Arabidopsis thaliana: one gene and its partners. The protein of the gene in region 2 interacts with the protein of the main gene of each other region in a biochemical or structural test. Each region holds a gene or a part of one and is shown on either strand. Other genes may lie near its edges. The genes, in order: SEP3, BEL1 and AG.

What was found.
Region 1: the proteins of BEL1 (region 2) and SEP3 form a complex in vitro, tested with the Arabidopsis thaliana proteins (one study listed by BioGRID).
Region 3: the proteins of BEL1 (region 2) and AG form a complex in vitro, tested with the Arabidopsis thaliana proteins (one study listed by BioGRID).

The regions. Positions count from the first base shown.
Region 1 is NC_003070.9:8,591,530-8,599,556, reverse strand, and holds SEP3 (K-box region and MADS-box transcription factor family protein), read left to right. Parts: upstream 1-3,458; 5' UTR 3,459-3,694; coding exon 3,695-3,879; intron 3,880-4,665; coding exon 4,666-4,750; intron 4,751-4,859; coding exon 4,860-4,927; intron 4,928-5,011; coding exon 5,012-5,111; intron 5,112-5,189; coding exon 5,190-5,231; intron 5,232-5,314; coding exon 5,315-5,356; intron 5,357-5,441; coding exon 5,442-5,584; intron 5,585-5,676; coding exon 5,677-5,767; 3' UTR 5,768-5,981; downstream 5,982-8,027. Other genes in the region: AT1G24256 (uncharacterized protein), read right to left, coding at 6,568-6,636, 6,818-7,009, 7,091-7,162, 7,381-7,479. UniProt on the Arabidopsis thaliana protein: Probable transcription factor active in inflorescence development and floral organogenesis.
Region 2 is NC_003076.8:16,575,501-16,583,527, reverse strand, and holds the start of BEL1 (POX (plant homeobox) family protein), read right to left. Parts: upstream 3,593-8,027; 5' UTR 3,105-3,592; coding exon 2,247-3,104; intron 1,645-2,246; coding exon 1,253-1,644; intron 428-1,252; coding exon 367-427; intron 283-366; coding exon 1-282. UniProt on the Arabidopsis thaliana protein: Plays a major role in ovule patterning and in determination of integument identity via its interaction with MADS-box factors. Formation of complex with AG-SEP dimers negatively regulates the carpel identity process and favors the maintenance of ovule identity.
Region 3 is NC_003075.7:10,377,947-10,385,973, forward strand, and holds the start of AG (K-box region and MADS-box transcription factor family protein), read left to right. Parts: upstream 1-4,909; 5' UTR 4,910-5,734; intron 5,735-5,965; 5' UTR 5,966-5,970; coding exon of another isoform or gene 5,971-6,094; coding exon 6,095-6,200; intron 6,201-8,027. Other genes in the region: AT4G18950 (Integrin-linked protein kinase family), read left to right, coding at 85-183. UniProt on the Arabidopsis thaliana protein: Probable transcription factor involved in the control of organ identity during the early development of flowers. Is required for normal development of stamens and carpels in the wild-type flower.

The DNA of each region.
Region 1 (8,027 bases), on a different chromosome or scaffold from region 2:
ACATACCTAAGGCCAGGTGCTATATCCTCAACCTGCTTTGGCATTCATCAATCTACGAACTTTGGCGTGAAACGGTGACAAGATTAACAAGATTCACTCTCAACTACGATGTTCTACTATCTCAAATCTTTAAAAAAGTGGATCAAACTGTCAAAAGTCTAGTTCGATGGACTAGCTTCAACACTCCTCCAAATCTAGTTCGATGGACTATATATTCTCTTCTGATGCTATCCTTATCTTGGATTAGGCATCTAAACTATGGTTTTAATGGTGTCATGAGGTTTTACAACTTACAAGGATGAAAGTTATTTACTCCCAGTCACTATCTTAATCAAATGACAAAATGTTAACTAGTTTGAGTGCTTATATATTAGTTATGAATCTGAAATTTATTAGTGTGTACATAAGTGATACAACACTTAAATAACATCTACATGAGTTTTTAAATAACATAATAATCCATTATAGTAGTTTACGGCATAAGGTATGAACCAAATTTTTCATTGCACGCTGAAAAGTGAAAACCTTTAAAATGCATAATGACTAAGAGTCTATGACAACAGTAACTTACTATATATTAGAGGAGGGGTGAAAAAAAAAGTAGAGAGACTGGTCCAAAAACTTAACCCCACTCAATAAACCCAGACGTGACTTGTTTGACGATAACTCCATCTTTCTATTTTGGGTAACGAGGTCCCCTTCCCATTACGTCTTGACGTGGACCCTGTCCGTCTATTTTTAGCAGATTAATCCAACGGTTCTTATTCTTTCTTCGACCCTTCACGACATTGCCTCAAAGCCGTCCGATTCTCATCTCACGCCCAATGGACCACATATATCACCAGTACTCCGCAACTTAGCTGTCGTGTAGGATTTCACGTGGCATTTATTTGTTCTAGTTTGTAGTGCAAACATTGCAAGTTGATATGGTCCCCTATCGATCACCGTCGTCTCTTTAGCTTCACATCGAGATTCTTCTTTCTTTCCTACGTGTAATAGCATTTTTGATTTTGAGAATTTCTTTAGAACCGTTGGATCTCTCATCGTTGGTTGATCCATCCATCCAAATGGGACCTGTGTGTGCTCCATCCAGGGCATATGATCCCAAAGCCAAAAGAGTATTTCCAAGTGCTTTCTTTCTTTCTTTCTTTCTTTCTTACTAACCTTTTTTTTTCTTATGCTTTAGACTAAGAAATTTATTCGGCCATATCCACTTTTACGAATATACTTCTTACAAGATCTAGATTTTTTTGAGTTAATTCGGTGTATATAACATTGGCATAGACTGCAATTAAGTAAATGATAATGTGATAATGATGCGATGTGTTGTTATCAAGTAGTATAATATAGATGGCTAAATAGGTAAACAAAATTACGTGTTATATGTACACAATTAGGTAGAACCGTAGAAATTAAACTGAATAAAACCTTTATTAATTTTAAAATTATATGGTACAGATAAATACGGAAAAACATTCACGCTTTACGTAACAATTAAGTGGAAAGTAAAATTATCCCAAAAATATTTATATCACATCATTGTTATATTTCTAAGTTTTTTTTATTTCTCTAATGGTATATGTTTTACAGATTGTTTTTTGGGAAAATTCTTAAAGAGACTTGAAGAATGTTTTTTTTTTATTTTCTTGAAATGTTTGACACTTGAAACCGTTTAAAAACTAAATATAGTATATATCATTGTTGGTCTCATACCTTGTAATTCACCACATATATTATCAATGGGGAAGATTTGAAAATTTTTGGGGGATCACAAAACGAAGGAAAGAGTACAAAAAGAGAAGGAAAAGATAGAAGATATATGTTTTTAACTTCATTGGTATGACATCAATAAATAAATAGTTGAATGTACTTTAGTTTCTCTTTTGGTTTAATGCACATCATCTCGATCAATTGTCATCATCTTACATTGAATTATACGACCAGATCTGATAACAAGTGAATTCGTACTTGCCCTTCCCTTTCTTCTCATACGTCCTTCTAACTAATTTTGATTGTAACTTATAATTATATAACCATATTTAATTTTATTTTATCTAAAACCAATTGAAGCAAATTAAAATATCATAAATCTTGAGTCCCACATGAAGACAATATATAAAACTCGTGCAAATTTGCTTAAAATGCTTCTATGAGACCATGACCAAGTGAGATTAATAAGCGATTCAATGTGCAAATCAAAAGAGAAAAGAAGCTAATGGGTTTAAATATAACCAAACAGAATAATAATGCTATGTTTAGTTTTTCTAATTGAATCATACCTTTGTGTCCATCACCTACTTACCGGTCAGAATAAAGCAATTACGTCTGCAACCAAAAAGCACTAAGACTTTCGGTCAGACATGATCTCTAACATCGGACGAACCCTAAGATAACCAAAATAAACTATATCTTATATTCAAATCTCTGTTTATTTTATCCATTTATGTTTTCTTTCTTTCCCATAATTTTTTTTGTGTCTCATCAGACTCTCTTACCAAACTGAATTTATCAACATGGTTTTTTTTTTGGCCACATCAAAATGGTGGTTTATAAAGTAGACTAATACAAAAGACATTTCTGTTAATTTCACTAACAAAAATAATCTTAGCAGTACTATAGATTGGAAAAGGAAAAGCAAATCTAGCAGTAAGATTTATCAAAACTAGCAGTAAGAGTTTTAGATATCATGAAAACATCACAAACGAGTAGTGTTTTACTTTACATTTTTAACCAATCACAAGGGTAGTTCCGTAAGTTGGGAAAATCGTACGAGGCTTCACCTAGTTAAGGTTAGGTCACATGATTCCCTGAACTCGATTTTATAAGTAAAAAAGAAAAATTTATAAAATCAAAATTTTTTATATAAAAAAATCAGGTGGATTTATCAGACCCTACCATCGAGATGTCGACACGTGTCCAAACTCATTCATTGCCCTACTATTTTCTGTTTAGGGTTGCAATCACTCATCGCACACGCGCCATCTCCACCTTCCATTATTAATCTCTCATTTTCAACATCACACTCTTACGAATCATACGATTTTAATATCTCTGTCTCTCTCAACGTATTAAATAAAAATGGTTTTAAATGTTAGGGTTTTTTGTAGGATTTTCAATTATTAATCTCTATAATTCGATGAACTAAGTAAAAAAGCATCAAACTTTCTTGGCAGAATCACATTTTTCTCTAAACTAAATATGGACTGAAATTGAAAAATTAAACCACTAGCTAGAATAAAGTGTTGGTGAGAGTGGAACTCTAATTTCTCTCCTTTACTAATTATGTATAAACACAAAAATGCACCAAATTTTTAGGTTTGAAAATATCTAAGCATGGATAGGGTAATTAACATTTTTTCTTTCAATTTTGCAATATTTGAATAAATCCTATGAGGGTCTTTGGTACACAATAATTGGAGGGTATATAGTTGAGTCTGAGAGTATATTAGAAAGAGAATATTTCAAGTAATGAAGCTGACATGTTTATATGTACTTTGAGAGAAGTGTTGTGAGATTTGTACAAATGTATATGTACACTTTAAAAAGCAATATAAGATAGATAAAAAAAATATAAAGAAAAAAAGAAAGAAAGAAAGAAAGAAAGAGAGAGGCTCATATATATATAGAATTGCTTGCAAGGAAAGAGAGAGAGAGAGATTGAGATATCTTTTGGGAGAGGAGAAAGAAAAAGAAAATGGGAAGAGGGAGAGTAGAATTGAAGAGGATAGAGAACAAGATCAATAGGCAAGTGACGTTTGCAAAGAGAAGGAATGGTCTTTTGAAGAAAGCATACGAGCTTTCAGTTCTATGTGATGCAGAAGTTGCTCTCATCATCTTCTCAAATAGAGGAAAGCTGTACGAGTTTTGCAGTAGTTCGAGGTATATATCTACTTTTGTATATATATTACTTATAACATAAACATTTTATATACATATTAAGTAACACAAAAATGTCTTGTATGTATGGGTCTCTCTGTGATGTGTTGTTGTGTCGTACGTACGTGTTCTATCATATCCTTTTAAAAGAAGCAAAGAGGAAAAAAAATTTGGGATACCCCAAATCTGTATCATTTTATAACAAGTTTGCTTTTTTGATGTTCTTTTGTGTTTCTCTTTGATTTCCATTTTTGTTTTTGATTTTTTTTCTATTTCTCTTTACATCTATCAAAGTTTTTTTTCTTATATTTTATTGCTTATTTGTTTGTCTACTTAATTCACATTATCTGAGAGAAGAACAATCTATCTGATATGAAATTAGGGTTAATTTCTCTTGTGAGTACTCTTTAATTCACATAAGCTTAAAGTTTCCACCTTTTGATTCTGGGGGTCGTCCAATTCGATCAAATCACTCAATTTTGTTGTCAGATTGATATAAGTTCATAGGGGGATATTGTTTCCACGACAATCCATTTTAGTAACCCTTAGGGGTTTCCAATTTTGGGTTTTGAATTGACGCTAATGTCAAATTCATCTAAAGTCCGTTGGATATGTATACTTGGGGATGGGATTCATCCTTTTTTCTGGGTTCTTTAGATCTTCTCTTAAAAGACTAACAGATTTTGTTGTAAACCCTAGGAAACAGTTAAAAATCCCATTTTTAAAAACATGTTTTGAACTTGATGAGTAAGATTAATGGAAGAAATGATGTTTTTGTGTGGTGTGAAGCATGCTTCGGACACTGGAGAGGTACCAAAAGTGTAACTATGGAGCACCAGAACCCAATGTGCCTTCAAGAGAGGCCTTAGCAGTTGTACCCAATTCTCTTCTCTTTCTTCTAATTACCTTAATTAATTACTCTCAATTTTTACTTTGATTTTTAGAGTCAAATGATTAATGTTATAATTTGTCATATACTTCAGGAACTTAGTAGCCAGCAGGAGTATCTCAAGCTTAAGGAGCGTTATGACGCCTTACAGAGAACCCAAAGGTAAACTAATTAGCTTCTTCAGCTACCTTCAGAGAGTGTTTGTTTTTTTAGTAGATTTTTTTGATGGTTTTGATGTTGAAATAGGAATCTGTTGGGAGAAGATCTTGGACCTCTAAGTACAAAGGAGCTTGAGTCACTTGAGAGACAGCTTGATTCTTCCTTGAAGCAGATCAGAGCTCTCAGGGTACTACTTTGTTCATCAATATCTTTATACACTGATCTATTTCCATAGTAAGATTAAATTTGGTGTTTAATTCTGCAGACACAGTTTATGCTTGACCAGCTCAACGATCTTCAGAGTAAGGTAAATAAAGAAACACTCATTCTCCTCTCTAAATTCCTCATCTAAAAGTAATGTAACCAAGAAAACACAAATATTTGGAGCAGGAACGCATGCTGACTGAGACAAATAAAACTCTAAGACTAAGGGTAATTAATATACATTCTCATATCACCAAATTAATGCATCACTAAATTTGGTTATAATGTGTGTGTGTATATACATATGTGACAGTTAGCTGATGGGTATCAGATGCCACTCCAGCTGAACCCTAACCAAGAAGAGGTTGATCACTACGGTCGTCATCATCATCAACAACAACAACACTCCCAAGCTTTCTTCCAGCCTTTGGAATGTGAACCCATTCTTCAGATCGGGTAACTTTAGACTAGTATAACCAATTTGATTTGAGTTCTATTATAAGCTTTTCTTAAGAAAGTATCTCAAACTACTAAATTTTATGGAGCAGGTATCAGGGGCAACAAGATGGAATGGGAGCAGGACCAAGTGTGAATAATTACATGTTGGGTTGGTTACCTTATGACACCAACTCTATTTGAATCTTTCTCACTTAATCAATCCCTCTCTTTTTTTTTTGACATTTTTAAGATGATGTTTCTATTTTATTACCTCTCTCATGTTTTCTGTCTTGTGTGCATGTGTGTGTGTAATGTTTATGCCCTTCTATTATTCAATAATTTTTTCGACAATTTTGCTTCCTATTTTTACCCATTACTCCTAAACTTCCTGATCCAGTTTCTTTTAAAATAACTCCCATTTTATGCATGTTATCTAACCAATTCTCTTAACTATGATTTATGGTACGATATAACTCACAGTCTCACACTATCTATTTGGTGTTTTTTTGTTTGAGTCTTGAGAAGGGACCGCTTGTTTATCTCTCTTGTTAAAGAGCAACTCACTGGCCACTGCTTATGTATCTGTAGGCCCCACCTATATCATTTTGGCTATATCTATACTTTTGTAGAGGGAGTATTACTATAGAGAAGAAGATAAATTTGGTTCTAATATATCTTGCAGGTAGTTGATATTCTCAATTATCATGAAGATTTGATAGACAAGTTTATCAGATACCTTAAACATAGGTTTAAGATCTCAATTGAAATGTGAATTCACCCGACGATTAGAGTTACGATCTAAGGAAGCGTTTCTTGAATTTTGAGTTTGTTTGATCAAGAGTAGAATGCTTTTCTATTACTAAGGTTGTTAATGCTTATATTCCATGACCAAGGCCAAGAGAACAAACAAAAACATGGTGCCTCTTGATGTATAGTAATGGCTCTTAATGGTCATATACAGAGAAAAAAAGATTAATGTCGTTGCACAAGCTTGAAGTTACTTACTCCTCGTCTTCCTCATTAGTGTCTTCGTCTTCCTCATCCTCATCGCTCCCAATATAGGGCTTCATCTACTTGAAAACCAAATGCTCATGCAGTGGAAAAAGATAACAGAGGTTCAAATTAAGGCAAACAAAACTACAAGTGAGAAAGGGAAACTACAAGTGGTAAGATGTAATGTTTTGACTCAAAACCAGATCAGACAATGAAAAAAAGTATTGATACAAAAAGTCCATCCGGAAGCATAATTACCGCTTGCAGGATGTCATCAGAGATGTCTGTTAGTCGGCCAATGGCATAGATGGTGAGCGGACCAGAGTAGCGTAAATCCTCTAAATACTGTCTAAAAGCCGGACCGACCCGACAAGGATCACAGTCAAGGGGAATAGGACACCTATTGATATCCCAAAAGACTGTTGTTACAGCCACATCATCCTTGTCCAACTGGGTAGCCCAAAGGGAAACTAGTTGTGGTAAGAGCTTGTTTGACTCAAAAAATGGCTAACTAGGATGATGCTGAATTACCATCTGTTCATGTTTTTGACTAGAGAGATGGGTAGTGAAATTTTCAAAGCCTTTGCAAAACGCCTGTGGGACCTGTTTCAGAAAAAGACTTAAAAGACTTGAGACTCAAGGAAAATAATATCCATTATATAAAGATGACAACAAATATTAACGGAAGTAGGAGTGATTGAGAACGATTCTAGTAGAAGAGACGGCTCGCAGGACGTCGTTTATAATAGGCCAATGGCAGAGATAGTGAGAGGACCGGAGTAGCCTAAATTCTTTAAATGTCGTTTGATACACGGACCAACTAGACGAGCATCATACTCAGAGGGAACCGGACACGTCTTGATATCCCAGAAGACCGATGTTACGGCCTTAGCTTGCTGCCGCGTTGCCTTCATCATCATCTTCTCCTTTTAATCTATAACGGAAATCAAACATCAGATAAAGCATTCGAAAAGATAGATTGACACAGGTTAAATCATCCACTTCAGAGAAAAAGAGAGGGACATGGCCGTAAACAATGAGATAAGGATCGGCCTAATGTTTATAATGGGCTTGCGTTTAATGGGCCTACAGTTTCTTGAATCAGCCTTATGCATGAGTCCTAGTATTTTATCAACTTTTTTTTTTCATCTTTCTTTAGTTACAATAGATTTAAAGTGTTTTTTGTTAATGCCATTGCAAAATTTGGTAACTGTTTATAACATTGTTCCTCACTTCAAAATTTAAAGCACCATTAATAAAAGCTATACATATAATTATAACTTGGGTTTTGTGCAAAAAAAACAAACAAATTAACCTTTCATTTTAAATAAATGCAATTCAATACCGCAATATCAAAAGTAACCCGTATAACCTTTATTCGTGTATAGATTTTAGAAACAGTATAAGTCAAATTATCAAAACTATGTTGTTTTAAGCATTTTAAAAATAAGAATAATAATAATGTTGA
Region 2 (8,027 bases):
AGCGTATGTCACAGCTTGGTTACCGTACAAGGAAAAGTCAAACGTTGACCCTAACGACATCGTTCCATGGGTTGAGTTGTGACCGGATTTGGATGTAGGGTTTGTCACTATTGAGGATAAAGATTCCGGTTCGACACGGATCAACTGGTCCGGGTCCGGTTTAGTATCGATCATCATCGGGTTTGTAATCTCCATTTGTTCACTTCTTGTTTCTTCACAGTACATTTCTTCAATCATTGGTTTCCATAGCCTAACTCTTGCATTAATAAACCAATTTGATACCTAACAATTTTGGTTTATTATAACTTTAGTAAATAGGATAATAAATTTTGGAATATATCAAGAATTAGTGGAGTTATTCTTTACCTGACTTCTTGATAAACCAGTTTGTCGGGCCAATATATGCTTATCAACATCGCTCGGATATCTGAAAACAAAAATAAGAAAATTTTACTTTAATGGAAAAATATAAGACAAATGGATATGTAATTAAAAAAAAGGATATAAATGATTGAAGAATGATGCAAATAAAATGGAAGCAAAGGTAAAGGGTTTGGTGAAAACTAACAAGATGTTTCATTGTTTGAGCAGTGTTTGGGAATTGATGGAGACAAGTGTTACATATGATGATAAACATATAACTTCTGTAAATTAAATAAATAAAAAGTAGAAGAAAAAGAACAAAATAAAAACATGGAGAAAAAAGCAAGGAGTTATGTATAGTTTCTCTCTTTTGTTAGTGTTAGGTAAAGAACATTGATTCTCTCTCTCAATCCACTTTGTACCTTTCTCTATTTCTGTCTTTCATCCACCAGTTAAATTTATTTTATTTAATTTTATATGTTCGTATACATATATATACATGTGTATATGTATATGTTTGTACACTCACTTTCACACCAATAGTGCAAATGAAAGAAAAAGGAAAATAAAAAAGCTATATGCAATTAACAGATTAAGGTAGATTGTATCCTATGCTTGTCAAGTCAATCTCAATCTCTCTATATAAAATGTACATATTTTTTTACTTTTATATGTTCAAAAATATTCATGTAACAAACAAAAAAAACCTATCATACTATTTATCAACGTACTATCAATGAAATAAAATCGTTAAAGAGGTTTTATATAGCTCCATAAATATACCCAATTAACTTGTGATTCTACCTTCATTGATCACTTCAGAAAGACACAATTAGTAACTTTTAGGTATGTGTAAATATATTAAGAGGATGTATATGAAATAACTTACGGGTGAAGAAAGTGTTCAAAGAGCCAAGCTCTCAACGTTGTGACTGCGCGTTCAGGCAAGCCGCGTTGTGGACGCCAAGGATGAGCGTCAACAAGAGTCATTTGGCGATACGATTTCTGTTGCCGCAAAGCTTGATCGAGCAATCTCAACCGTGGAGTTTCTCCACGTGCTGCAATAGAAACCGCACGATTATCCTCTTCTCTCTCTCCCAAAGCTTGACTTGTTGCTTGAATCTGTCCCACAAGTCCGTCTTTTAAACACCGAAAGTGTCTTGACATTGCCCTTGACGCTAACGCAGTGTATATCTCTGCCCCTCCTAGTCCAACCGCCGCTTCAAAGGCTGCCGCCGCAACTCTCATTTGCTCTCGGTAATGTCCATATCTTCTTTTAAGCTGCCAAAAAACCGCAAAAAAACGTTACCCCACACCATTCACAAAGATTTCAATCACAATCGTGTAAATGTAGATTCTTAGAATGAGTAAATACACGAAAAAGAAACAACTCGTTATGGCTTATGATGATGAAACTGATTGCTATAAATATGGAGGACCACTAGAGTCTCCAAATTAGCTCAAAGCAAAGAAAACAAAATTATATTTTGGTTCTATAGAAAAAAAGAAATAATGAGTAAAGGAATTAAAAGGGTTGATCTTTTCGTAGTTGATACGATCGAACTTGTTTTCGACGAGAATACATGAAAGAATGAAGACAAAAAAGAATCTTTTTATCTTAATATCTAAAAGAAATTTGTAACTTTAAGAAATATATGGACCTAATCAAGAATCGAAAAAATACAAGATTTATGGGTATCTTACATATTTAGGAATAAGTTGAAACCAAATGAAAGGAAAAAAAAAAAGATTTGTAAAAGACTTGTGGGTATTTTACATTTTTAGGAATAAGTTGAAACCAAATAAAAAAGGATTAGATTTTCTAAGAAACTCATGTAAGTTTTGATAGTAGTAATGAAATAATTTCTTGAAAATATATATACCTCTTCGAGCATGGAGAGCAACTTGGCTTTTCTTTTCTGAAGTTCCATGAACTCAAGAGAGTGAAGTGGTGGAACATGTTTCTTTGAAGAAGTAGTCGCAGATTGGTCATGTTGATCATTGTTGCTGTGGTGACTTGTGTCCCACTCTTCTTGTTGTTTACCCTTTTGCTTCTTCTTATGCTTCATCATCATCACTTCTTCATCGCTTTCCTTTACTCCAAGACTGCAAAACTCACTCAGTAGCTCTTGAGCTGGACTCAAATACTTGGAACTCCCAATCTGAAACTGATGATGATTATGATGCTGATGATTGTTATTGTTGTTGTTTTGGTGGTGACTATTCATCATCATCATCATCATCTGCGTGTGTTGGAGATTCTGATGTTGTGTTGATTTATTACCGGAATACCCTTGTTGTTGTTGTTGTTGGGGTCTGAGTTCGAAAGATTGGAGACTGATGCTTGTAGGATTTGAAGAGGAGAGAGAAAGGGAAAGACCTTGGCTTGGTCTTTGTGGTGGTCTCTCATCATTTACTTCACTTGGGAAATCATTATTAACATTGCATAGTCTCATGGCAGATGAAGAATCTTCCAGAAGCTGATTCTGATCAGTACCACCACTTGTCTGATGATGATGATGATGATGATCCGAACCACTTGTCATCCTAATCTGTTGTTGCTTAGAGAAGTCTATCATCATACCCATGTTGGAGTTTGAGCCAAAGATCTGATGATTGTAATGATGATGATCGGTTGGGTTTTGGTTTGTCTCATCAAACCCTTGGATCTGATTAATCATTTGATGTTGTTGCTCTTGATGATGATGGTTATTGTGACCATAGAACTGATCTCTTGCCATGTCTCTCAAGAATTGAAAACCCAAAAAGAAGAGAAGAAAAAAGAAAACTCTTTTTGGGACAAAAACAGAAGTTTCATTAAGATCTACAAGAACCCATCTCCAAGAAAAAGTTAAAAAGAACCAATAAACAAAATAGAAAGGCAAATCTTCTCATACCATGAAAATTACAAAACTTTGTATCAGAACCAAGACAATAGAGATAGCTCCTAAAACCCTACAAGAAAGTAGTTTGCATAAAGATGTGAATTATTTTTCTTCTTATTCTTTAGGTGAAGAGGGAGAGAGAAGAGATTATAGGAGAAGATAGACGAAGAAGAATAAAAGAATTAAACAGAAGAGATATAACAGAGAGAGAGAGAAGAAAAGAGATTGTGTGGCTTCACCTCTCTCTTTGTTTTGTACTTTGACAAAATTTAATTTTTCTTTTAGTATGGGTCTGTAAATTGTACTACAGGCAAAAATAAAGAATTATAAAATGGTAAAATAAAATTAAACCTAGGAAGAGAAAAAATCAGATTGGTATCTCTTCAGAGATCAGAAGACAGGTGATCATGACCCTGCCATAGACTCTATAGCTAGCCATCAATGTTTTAATCTCTCTCTCTATATATATCTATATATATATATATATCACAAGTGGGTCAAAATGCTTTACAATTTTCAAAAGAAATATTAATATTCTTTTTATTTTATTTTTTCCCGCATATAAAATGCCTCACAATTATACATTTAATTTGTGTATTTTGGTATACGTAAGTCATAATGAAATAATGGTTTATATTTTTCTTCTTCTTTGACGTTGAATTATAAATTATTGGTCTGACCAAGAAAATACTACAGGTGTCTACCTCTATTCTTTATTTTCTTCGTTCAATTATTAAGAACCTGCTAATTCGAAAATTTAGTTTACAAAAAAAATCAAAAAGGATGGTACGTACGTACATTGGTCCAAACAGTTTAGAAAAAAAATTGATTGGATAGATAACAAATAATTAAACTGAACTAAAGAAAACAAAAATTAGAGATCCTTTGCCCGGTACACAAACTAATTATACAAGCCATCTTCATATGACATATCTCTACGTTGATTTAATTATTTATTAAACATAATTTAGTATTTAAATGTTCATATATATATATATATATGTATATATGTATTTAGTATTTTGATTTTTATTGCTGAATCCATACGTGTAATCTACGTGTATATGTATTTAGTATGTATGTAGATATGTATACAATATGTTATCTAAGAAAATGATATCAATTTTGGTGTTAGTGTCGTTTGCTAAGCTTATGTAGGCAAATTTTGTTATTAAATGAATATTTTTGGAACTACTTTTTTTTTTGGTGAAAATATTTTTTGGAACTACTTTTTAAACATTTTTATGAAGCATAGCGTATCTCAAGCAATATTTGAACATTGACGATGATTTTTAATTGAAAATAATAATATTCTAAATTTAGCCAACCAGTCACGTGAATGTACAAATTTAACTAGTATTTTGTACAAAAGGTGTCCCTTTCTATACATAAATAATCGTTATATATAATACATGTATGCCTCTGCGGCTCTGCCTATTTTGCTCCTAAAATATATTTTCTTTGTTAAAGAATTATTATCAGGTCTAATTTATAACAGAATTATTTGATGATAAATGAATTTTCAAACAAAGAAGAGAAGTTAAGTTAACTTAAAAAATGAATAACTGTGAAAAAGTTTTGCTCCTAAAATAGTTTTTTTTTTTTTTGGAGAATTAACATACCAATATATATATATATATGTTGGTGTATAGATGGAGAGGTAAGTAAATGAAAGAGAACGAATCCCAAGAAATCAAACCAGAAGTAGGAGTTGAGTTCAGGCTTTTCTCAGATATGTCTCAGTGTCACTTCTCTACTGTTTAACAATTACTATTAAATTACTATCAACCATATCATAACTATATAAACATTTTAATTAATAGTAATTATATATAGTAGAATAGAGATCGTAGTCCCGTGTAATACAACACAAATGGACTGATGTCATTATTCGACTTGCACTTCGCACAGTACGTGAAAGAGATTGTGTTTTGAGTTTTAAAATACGTTGTTGGTCGGTCACTAAACTAATCGAGAAAGTACCAAAACAAAAGTCTCCTTGTTAGTAACTGCAAGGGCGAAGAAGTTAATTATATCAAGATTTAATGGTTTTCTATTAAATTCCATTTAATATGTACGCAAAAGAAGGAAAACAAAAAATCAAAGTTTTCTTAAACATTGCTGACATACAAAATCAAATATTCAAATTTTAAATAAATGTTTCTTAAATGTTGACATAGAAAACTAATATAGTCGTTCTTCTGCTTGGCACATGTATTATTAATTGTTGTAAAAATAGTGTTTATTACAAAATTTGCAAATTTCTTTCTTTAGAATTTAGATATATACGACATCTTAACATTCAAACCATAAGTCAAACACCACATTATGAAAAACGTATAATTAATTGGCGTTACAAAAACATATCAAGAAATTAATTAATTTTAAAGAAATTAAAAATTATTTAATTAAATAGTTTTTAAGTAGGATAATCTTTGATTAGTTAACATCAAAGCCAAGTTGTAAAAGAGGACATAAAAAGATACATAGAAGAGACAAAAACAACACTGTGTTTGTAGTTATTTAACCGCTAATATTTATTAGAGTCACCCAAAAAGCTTTCTTCTTTTCATTGGATGGATAAACCAGTGAGTTTTCTTATAAATGACAAATTCGAATATAACTTATAACCAACAATATCACAAAAAATTGATATTACTTGTGTTATAGAATATTCACATTCAGTTGCTTAAATATAGTATACTATTGCTATATACGTCAAGTTCATATATTTACCAACAATTCAAAAAAAAAATCATCTATACATTCATTTTTTTGTTTCCAAATTAAATACATGTGTTAATTACAAACTGTTAACTGAAACTATCAAGGAAGTACAGGATAAGAATATCCAAAACTTTGAGATTATACGTTAATAACAAACTATTAGTTTTCAGAATTGGAGTATTTATAATTGTTGTCAAGAATTGTTCCCAAACTAAGGGACTGTGCATGAGAGGTGATTAAGTGGTCCTCCATTTTTTTTGCTTCTTTTTTCTTTCTAATGTCTTTCTTTCTTTATATTCATTCCACCCAAAAAAATGCATTTATTTTCGTCTCTCTTTGGGACCATTTTATTTTCTTCTCCAATTCTTACATATTCACATTTATATGAACTTTATATATCCTCTTCCACGCGCCAATGTCTAAGAAAAACAACTCAATTGAATAAAGCATCTATATTCTAATACTGACCTTCTCAGATAATTAATAGGACAATTTTAAGTAATACTAATATGTTATAAATTCATTACAAAACCAAAAGAAAATAACTATTCAGATTTATGACAAAAAAAATAACAATGATTTCTCAAAACTTATTGACATATATTTCACTATAAAAATTTGGTAATTTTAGTTCAAAATGAAGCATCCACAATTTGGTACTCCATTAATTGATAAAATCAGCCATGCGCAATATGTATAAACACCAGAACTAAACCCAATTAATTGGTTTAGTCACGTAACAAACACGCGACATGTTGTGAGTGGGTGAAAACATCTTGGCGATTACATACATTTAAAAGGGGAAGTGGTCCAACCGAAACGGAAGCTCTTTCCGCCGTTTCATACCAAATTCCACAAAGAATCCTTTTTTCAATCTTTTGATATCCCGAAAATACCCTCCACTGATGATTGACGTCATCACTTCAGACCTTTTTTATTTTATTTTTGTCGACAACCTTTTTTATTTAAGAGAATGATCGCAGCAGGTGCGCAGGTTAGCAGACCTAATATTTTTCTACGTCGCGATAAAATTCTAAGTAAATAAGTGGTATAGTTTTTCATATGTGATTTAAAAAATAAAGTATCTTTTGTGTTATCAGATTTATATTAACACCGTATGATAAATGTATATATATATCCGTATGATATTTGTTAAATAAGAAAGATAAAACATTTTATCTTTGAGATAAATATATAAACTGTTATCCCTAGATTTTGCAAAATAAGTGAACTTAATGTTATTGCTACTCTTAGAGTTATTGATGATGAAATTGTATCACATAAATCACTTAAGCGGAAAAGTGAAAAGAAAATGTCTTAGTATTTGTAAATCTACGATATAAACTTTAGAGGTATGATCTAGCGCTATTGCTTCACTATGTATTAAAGCATTTATAAGAGCAAACAGATTAGAGAAAAATATTTATTGTCATCAACATATATTCAAAATGTTTCTAACATGTAAAAGGAGCATCCATGATAATCTAAGGTGGCACATAAAATAAAACAAATCAATCATAACCGTTAAAAGAATACAAGGAGAAAAAAACAATGAGATCATAAGTGTGGAAAAAAGGGAAAAATCTGATAGATCTGATAAATGTCGGAGACAGTACACAGTTTTGAGCTTTAGGGTTTTTAAGGGTTCTTGAAACTTGAAACTAGAAACTGCTTCTCAGACTCATGATCTCACTCTCCCCTCTTTATACATTCTTGCAGACATGTTCATAGTGTGGTCCAACTTTACATATCCACGCATATATATTATTTTTATATCAATTTCTTTTCATATATGATTGATGAATCGAAGAGAGAGAGAGAGAGAGAGGTATATATGTTTGCCCCTTAACCAAAGTTGTTTCCTAATTATTGCTTCGGGGACCAGTTGTTTTTGGTCCCTCAATGTGAATACTTCGAAAACTATTTTCCCATAACTATCTAATAAATAGGGAACTGAGTTAATTAAGTTAATAATGTATAGTTTGAGTGCTTAACCAATTGTTGAAAACAAAATCGAAGAATTGAAGTTGAATTCATGTTCGAGGTCAAGCA
Region 3 (8,027 bases), on a different chromosome or scaffold from region 2:
TCTCTATCAAACACACATTGAGTTTTGTTTGTTTGTCTCTCTGATGTGTTTCTACTTCTACATGTTGTCTTTTTCTTTTCTCAGATGAGGCCATTGACATGCTTTCAGAATTTCGAGCACAAGAAGAAACATAATTGGGATTTGAGCAGCCATGACGGCTCATCATCCGGTTCACATTTGTGATTCTTTAAACGGTTAAAGAAACCATTCTTTTGTATCCATTCCTTCCGGTTTAGTTTGGGTTTCCCCAAAGCAACCGAATTTGACTTTGTATATTTGTTGTACACTGAAGAACTCAAGAAAGTCTTCGTGTATACAAAAACTGCATTTTTTTTATTCTAGTATACAAAATTGTTGTAAGATCTATGATTTTAACCGCAATATATATTTGCTGTTGTAATCTAAAAAATTGGTTTAAGAATATTTATGATTTTTCCTCAATCTTTTATGATCCCTAACTTCGAAAGGTCAAACAGATTTAATGTTTGCTTCTTTTATTCTTTTTAAAAGCTTCTTTCTTTACCGACCATAGTAGCCTCAAATAATTTGAGTTATAGTAGTTGCAAGCATATTCTGCATTTTGGTTATAATTGCACTTTCAAAATCTGAAAGTTGGATATGTTTTTGCAATGTTTCTTTAACTGGAGCATTTGACACTTCAACTTGCTTCAAAATCACTCCGGTACTCATTTTTCTTACCATCTTTTGTTTGTATTCAAATATCAAATGTTTTTTTTTGTTGCTAAAATAATTGAATAATGCATCGACCTAAACGAATAGATAAAGAATCACTAGACTAACACACACCTGTGGTTCTTGTCATTGGATCTCATGTGAGTGTTACTATACTTTTCTATCAAAGGCTTACCCTAAATTGTGAATCCTGTAAAACCACATGAAATTTTATGTCTATCACAAAAGAATACATACACCAAGATTCAAGAATATGAAAACACACATATAATATAGACATTTTTAAGAGGGTCCCAAAAACAGGCTCTTGATCTGGAAACTGTATTAATTTGTATCCAATTATAACCTCATGGGCCACTTTTCCCTGGCTATGCACATTATCATAGGTTATACGATTAAGTTCGTGATGGAAAATATGATTTATTAAAGTTTTCTTCCCGAGTTTGCAACGATTTTCCTTTCTTCAAAATCTAAAATTTATTCGATTAACAAAAAAAACAATTATCGACAAGCAATTCAAAGGAAAAATTGTGAAAAAACAAAAGAATAAGGAGAGAATATGTCCTCCTTCTGTTTTTTTTTACTAAGAGAGAATATATCTTTAATAGGGGATGCTTCTTGCTCGAAGCCATCATTGAGAAGACCTTCATACTTGCGGGAGTCTATGATAGATATCTCAAGAGTTAACTTTAGATACTTTTATGCGATTTCATTTTATTTTTAATGACTTACTATAATAATTATTATTTTTTCATCTAAATAATTCAATTCACGAAATCATCTTAATTATTATTTATATAAATACATGGACAAATAGAAGTGGAAGAACAATGTTTAGAAAACAAATCGAAAAAGATCGCCGACCTTTATTGATCGAGGAAGAGAATTCTGGTGGGATTTTAGAGGGAGGTAAGAGCATAGGTGCTAGAGAGTGTTCGGAGCTCGGAAAATGATTAAAATTGGTTTTGATTACACTTAATTAGTTTAATCTTCTAGTAACACACAAATATGCTAAAATAAACACATAATACATTCATGCAAACACAAAACTTGGCTTAATATTGGCCAATAATTTGAGTGGCACAATCACAATCAAGCCAAAAGCAGCACTGATTTCTCTTTTTTTTTTTCTTTCTAATTAGTCTTAATTCGGTCCAAAACCAAACAAAAATATCTTTAAATTATATTGGAACCTGACGAAAACAAATCTTAAATTCCCACAAAATGCTATATATATAGTATCTAAGTTTGAATGCCAATTCCATATTTTTACGGAATTTATAAAAGTACGCAGAATCTATTTCTAGCAGTTTGGAAAATTTTCAAAATATTTGAAAATTTTCAAATGGTTTGTGGTCTGTTGATCTACTAATCACGTCATACTAATTTTGGGATGGAATGTTACAGAATATATAATTTCAAAACAGAGAGAGTATTCTTTTGTTTTCTGTGAACTGATTTTATTCTAGGTAATATAATGTATCCATTTTTTTTAATGACGAGGAAGAAAAATTAAGGAACAAAAGAATATGCATTAAATTTGATTAGGTAGTGTCATTTAAGTGATCCCTTCTCCAACACAAAATGTATGATTCGACGTCAAATTAATGTTTTAAATATTTATTGCTTTTATTGATCATATATAATTTAATATTTATAATCATTATTACGTGGGAACTTATCTAGTACACATTCTATGTCTTTGTGAACTTAGTACACGAGTAACGGTTTTTCTATTAAATTAAAACCTTCAAAACAACATTTGATGAAAATTTCATAGATTTTACACCAAAATTTCGTAAGAAAAATTGTTGGAGTTCGTATTGTTTTCTTGTAGTAGATGACATTAAAAAAATACATTAAGATACACTAAACAAGAATTATGCATATTGTTTTTTGGTCAAAATCGAGCCTTTACCAAATTGATCGATACATTTTTTCTGATGATACGTTTAGACTAGTTGGATAAAATATTAATCTGTCCTCAAAACCAATTTGCAGTGGATCAATCCATATATCTTCTATATTATTAGGATCTTTGTCTAACTTCCGATGTGTGATATTGTTATTCCTAAGATAAAACACCATTGAAAAACAGTATTTTAAATCGGGTAAATAATTCAGCGAGTCACATATTTTTGTTTTAATAAAAACTCAAATCAAAAGTGATCAAAATATGGTAGAAAGCAACCTTCGATTGTGGTCCATCATGTAAGATACGAGAAGATTTTATGGTTTTTAAAACCCACTTCGACCATGAAAGCTTGACCCAAAGCAATTGAGTTGTTTCTTTTATAAATGACCTAATCAATTTCCATACATACAAGCATACATGTGACGTAAAGGAAATCTAATTATGTACTAATTTGTAAATTTTACTAGTATTCAATTCAGTAATTCTTACTAAACTTACTTTAACTCTTGCTAATTAAATATACTACTAGAGAAGGTAAATTACATGCAGTTAAGCTATACTATTTTTTCTAATTGCAAGAAAGAAAGAAAAAGTACAAAAGAAAAGAAAGCACATTGCAAGTGGATGTATATATAGTTATAGGGAAATAAATATGAATATGGACTGTATATACATATAGGTTTCTCTTATCTCTATCAAATTACCTTAAATGGGTTCATAAAGATGGAGATCAAAGACTACACATCACATGCTACTCTCCCTCTTCTTTTGGCATAACCTTACTCCATTTATACATTGTGCTCCTCAATTATTCAACATTTTTTAAAAATAACTTATTTAACAAAATGTTAGAAAATATCTACCCAATTTTTTTCTTCCACATACGAGCTACAAAGATCTTTATCAAATAAAACAAGAAAGATTATTAATCCATATTTTGGGTTAAATTTTAATCCATTTAGCCAATTAGGAGAACTATTTTAACAGTTAGATACTTTTCAACAAAATTTATTAAGTAGTCACCTATGTATATTCATATAGTAGTTTCACAAACAATATGGAGAGCTGTGATCTTGAAGAGGGCGACAAAAGTCAAAAAGAAAATGTAAAAAAAGAGAGAGAGATTAAAGTAGTTGGAGAAGAGAGAAAAGTCTGGTTACCTTCTAATTGAGTCAGAAGCATTACACTTAAATAACTTTCCAAATTAAGCCCTACGTCTTGTCCAGCCCCTTAAAAGTACGCTTCATCTCCCTATTTCCCCTATAAACCCTAAAACCCTATTTATCTTATTAATTTATCATTTTTTTTATATGTCAATATCACAACAAGTAAACATCATCAACTTCAAATCTCACTAACATAAATAGTATGCTAATTTTCTTCACTATCTGAGTAATTTTCTCCTTCTTTTTACATCATTCGATTCTATATTTGCCACACCATTAAATAGATAAGTATATTGGTTCTTACTACTAATAATCAGTTTAGCCATATATCTAATTACACAGTTTTCTTTTATATGTTACTTTATATTTGTACACCATCAGTTACTATATACGGAATAAATTACACCTCATCATGTAATTACAATATTATCATAAATTTTTTGAAATTCTATTCTTTAATATTTTCAGTATCCAGAATCCATTTTCTTATATTTATTCTGGCAAAATAATGTAAAATGGTATCAAATATACAACACCATATATTTGTTTATAAATAACTTCCTTAATTAGTGAAACAAATTTTCCTGCAGAATGTCACTTAAATCTTTAAAACAATTCACAAAAGAAAAGGGAATAGAGCTGAAATTTTTTCCTCTTTAAAAAGATCAAGATTTAGTAAAAACTAGAAACAAAGAAGAAGATCGATATTTGTTGTAACAAAAAAATGTACTGATCAGATTTACCCAAAGATTTTAGTGCCTCAAAAACTTTCACATGAAAAGCAAAGACAAGTAATGGTAAGTAGAGTCTGCATCTCATGAGTGATTGCCCAACTTGAACCCTCTTTTCATTTAGACCTTTGTGAAAGACCACACAAGAACTACCCACCAATAACTCTCTCTTTTTTTCTTCATTTCCAAAAACTATTTATTCATTTCTACAATTTCTCAATTTGGGGGTGTCCTTAATAAGTATTATATTTATGAAAAGTCCGGATGTATGGTGGGTGTTATTTATGGTAATTAACACTATTTATTAATAATATTTTTCATGTGATTTCAAAAGCTGATGTACTCATGCTTTGTGAACCTTTAGATTGCTCTATGTCAATCTTTTATTTTAACCTATCATATGTCTAAATGTACTGAAAAGAAACACCAGTTTAATTAATTATACTTCCCTCATATATAACTATCAACCAAGTACAAAACTTTTGTCAATTCTCAAAATCAACTTTCACCACATAATTATCTAACATGTGTATGTTCCAAAACCAGTTTAAATAGAATTACTTTTCAGAAAATACATGTATATTAACTCTATCTAATAAAGAAGAAACACATACTTATCTCATAGATTCCATTCATAAAACTATGCTTTAGTGAGTAAGAAAACCAGTAATCAAACACAAATTGACAAGACACTATATGGATGTAAAAAGTGGGGAAAAATGGTGATAAATAGTAGAGAAAATTAAAAAGAAAAAAAATATTCCTTTATAAATGTATATACCCATCTCTTCACCAGCACAACCTTACCTTCCATTTTCTGCAACTTCTCCAAATCTCATACTTTCCAGAAAATCATTTTCCCAAGAAAAATAAAACTTTCCCCTTTGTTCTTCTCCCCCCAACAGGTCAGGCTAGTATTTTGTTGTTCCCCAATCCTTTCAAACATTATCTTCTTCATAATATTACTTTGCTTCACTTCTTTTGGTCCTTAAACCAAATTTTTGTTCTTCTTTAGTTTCCTTTTTTCCCGTTTTGATTTGATTCTTTTTATGTTATTTAGAGAGAAACAAGATTCACAAATTCTCTGATCTTCTTTAACTCTTTAAAACTTTTCTTTTTCACACTCTAGATTTAAATTATCCCTATGGTTACAAAACAATTTTGTTCTTAGTTTATAACTTGTGTATTACCATCCTTTCTTGATTAACTCTTGTTAGGAGAATATGAATGTAAGATCAATAAAGTTCTTCAACTTTATAATTCCTTCTATAAGATGTGTGTCGGCAACAGAATTAAATTAAATCTTTATAGTTTAACTTTAATCTCAACCATAATTCAAAAGAATAGAAAACATGAAGAATCTTGAGTCTTTTCAAGAAAATCTTGATTGGTTTTTTGTTGGATTCTTGTAATTCTGTACTAATCAAATTTTGCCCTAAACGTTTTTGGCTTTGGAGCAGCAATCACGGCGTACCAATCGGAGCTAGGAGGAGATTCCTCTCCCTTGAGGAAATCTGGGAGAGGAAAGATCGAAATCAAACGGATCGAGAACACAACGAATCGTCAAGTCACTTTTTGCAAACGTAGAAATGGTTTGCTCAAGAAAGCTTACGAGCTCTCTGTTCTTTGTGATGCTGAAGTCGCACTCATCGTCTTCTCTAGCCGTGGTCGTCTCTATGAGTACTCTAACAACAGGTTTCTTCTTCTTCTCGTGCTCTGTTCTTACTTTATTAATAATTAAATTATTTTTAAAGTCCGATTTAGGGTTTTATGTTTATGTTAAAGCATAAATCTTTTACGAGGGTTTTCGATCTTCTAAGCTAGATTTGATTCTCTTCTTCTTGAATGCTCTTATGGGTAGGATTATTTTTCACTTTTTTCCTTCATATTCCACACACATATATATATAAACACACTAACATTAGTGGGAATATTTGTTTGATATGTTTATTTTATTTACTTCGGGGGTTTTTGTAACAATTTTGTAGATCTAATTTCTTGTTCTTCATGTGTATATTAATTTTCCCTTAAGACTTAAATAAAAAGAGAGAATTTGTTATATATAGATATATGAAGTGAGGGAAATGGTACAAAGTTAAAGGAGATCTGAGTGAGAGTTAGATAATAAATGAAAAGAAATAAGAAACCATCAGGGTTTTTTCTAATGTGGAGTTTTAGATTCAGTTTTGTAGAACTAAGATTCACTTTGTTGGGTGTTCTTTCTTCACTCATTTCTGTTATTATAATAATAATAAAATCTTATATCTTTCTATTTTCCTTACTAACAAGTACTTGAAGATTTAGATATATTTATAGATCTGGTGTTGTAATAGGTAAAAACTTGATTTTTATGACTATAAAAGTAAGTTTTGGGAAACAAATTGGGGAGAGAGTAAGGAAGGACTATGAGGTCATATCTTCTGTTTTGTGATCATCCATCCTCCATTGTTGTTAATGTCTGTGTCTCTCTTTTTCTTCTCTTCTTTCTCTTACTTTCCTTTCTTATCTCTAGCTCTCTTTCTCTCTCATGAATTATATCATATCATATATTTGATACAAACACATGTGATGGTAAGTGAGAGTGAATAAGGTGAAACTAGCTAGATTTTTGAGTTTTCATGAAATTTTAACTTATATGAGTGATAGAAAATAATGGAACTTATACGTACATGTAGGACAATTTAGATGGTTATCTAAGTTTTTGTTTTTGTTTTCTCTTGAGAATGTTAAATGTTAGTGTTATTTTTGTAGTTTTGGAAAATTATATATGAGCTAAGATTAGTTTAGAAGTGGTCAAAAGAAACATAGATTTGAAATTTCAACTGAATTTTCAAGATTTCAAATAGTCAATGAAACAAGGAGGTAATTAAGACAAATTAGCTTATGGGGACTCTTTTTTGTTATTCCTTAAAATTACTCTTTTTAAAATTAAAAATAACTAATCTCATTTCGAACTACATTACTCAAACTAGTAATCTCTAATTCGACACGCAATTTCCAAATACTTATTAGTAGAGAGTCCCACGTGATTACTTTCTTCTCCACCAAAACATAAAACATGTCAAGATTAAATGGTGTTTGAAAATTAAAAGATCAATTTTCTTAATCGTTTACAGTTGTCAACTCTCATGTCCTGAAATATATAATTCTCATGTCCAAAACAAGAAAAGCTAACAACGACTTCAAATTAAATCAGTCAATCAAAATTAGTCTTCATTTACCTACTAATTTCTTTTTATATATCCGATGGGTACTCTACGAAATCAGAGTTTCGTTTCTTTATTTATTTTCTTTTATAAGATTTTTGAGGTTTTTTCAGAGGTTGGAATTGAGCGCAAGATTAGGTTTTGGGTCTGTAAGATTTGTTGTCTTTGTTAAAGAATCTTTGATCACGTCATCACTCAGATATTATTTCTTTTTATTTTTCACTTGTATTTTTACTAATTTATTATAAAGTTTTGTTAGTTTCAGTTCTTGACTTCTGACAAGAAGGTTTTATGTCATAATGAATTAATTTGTAAC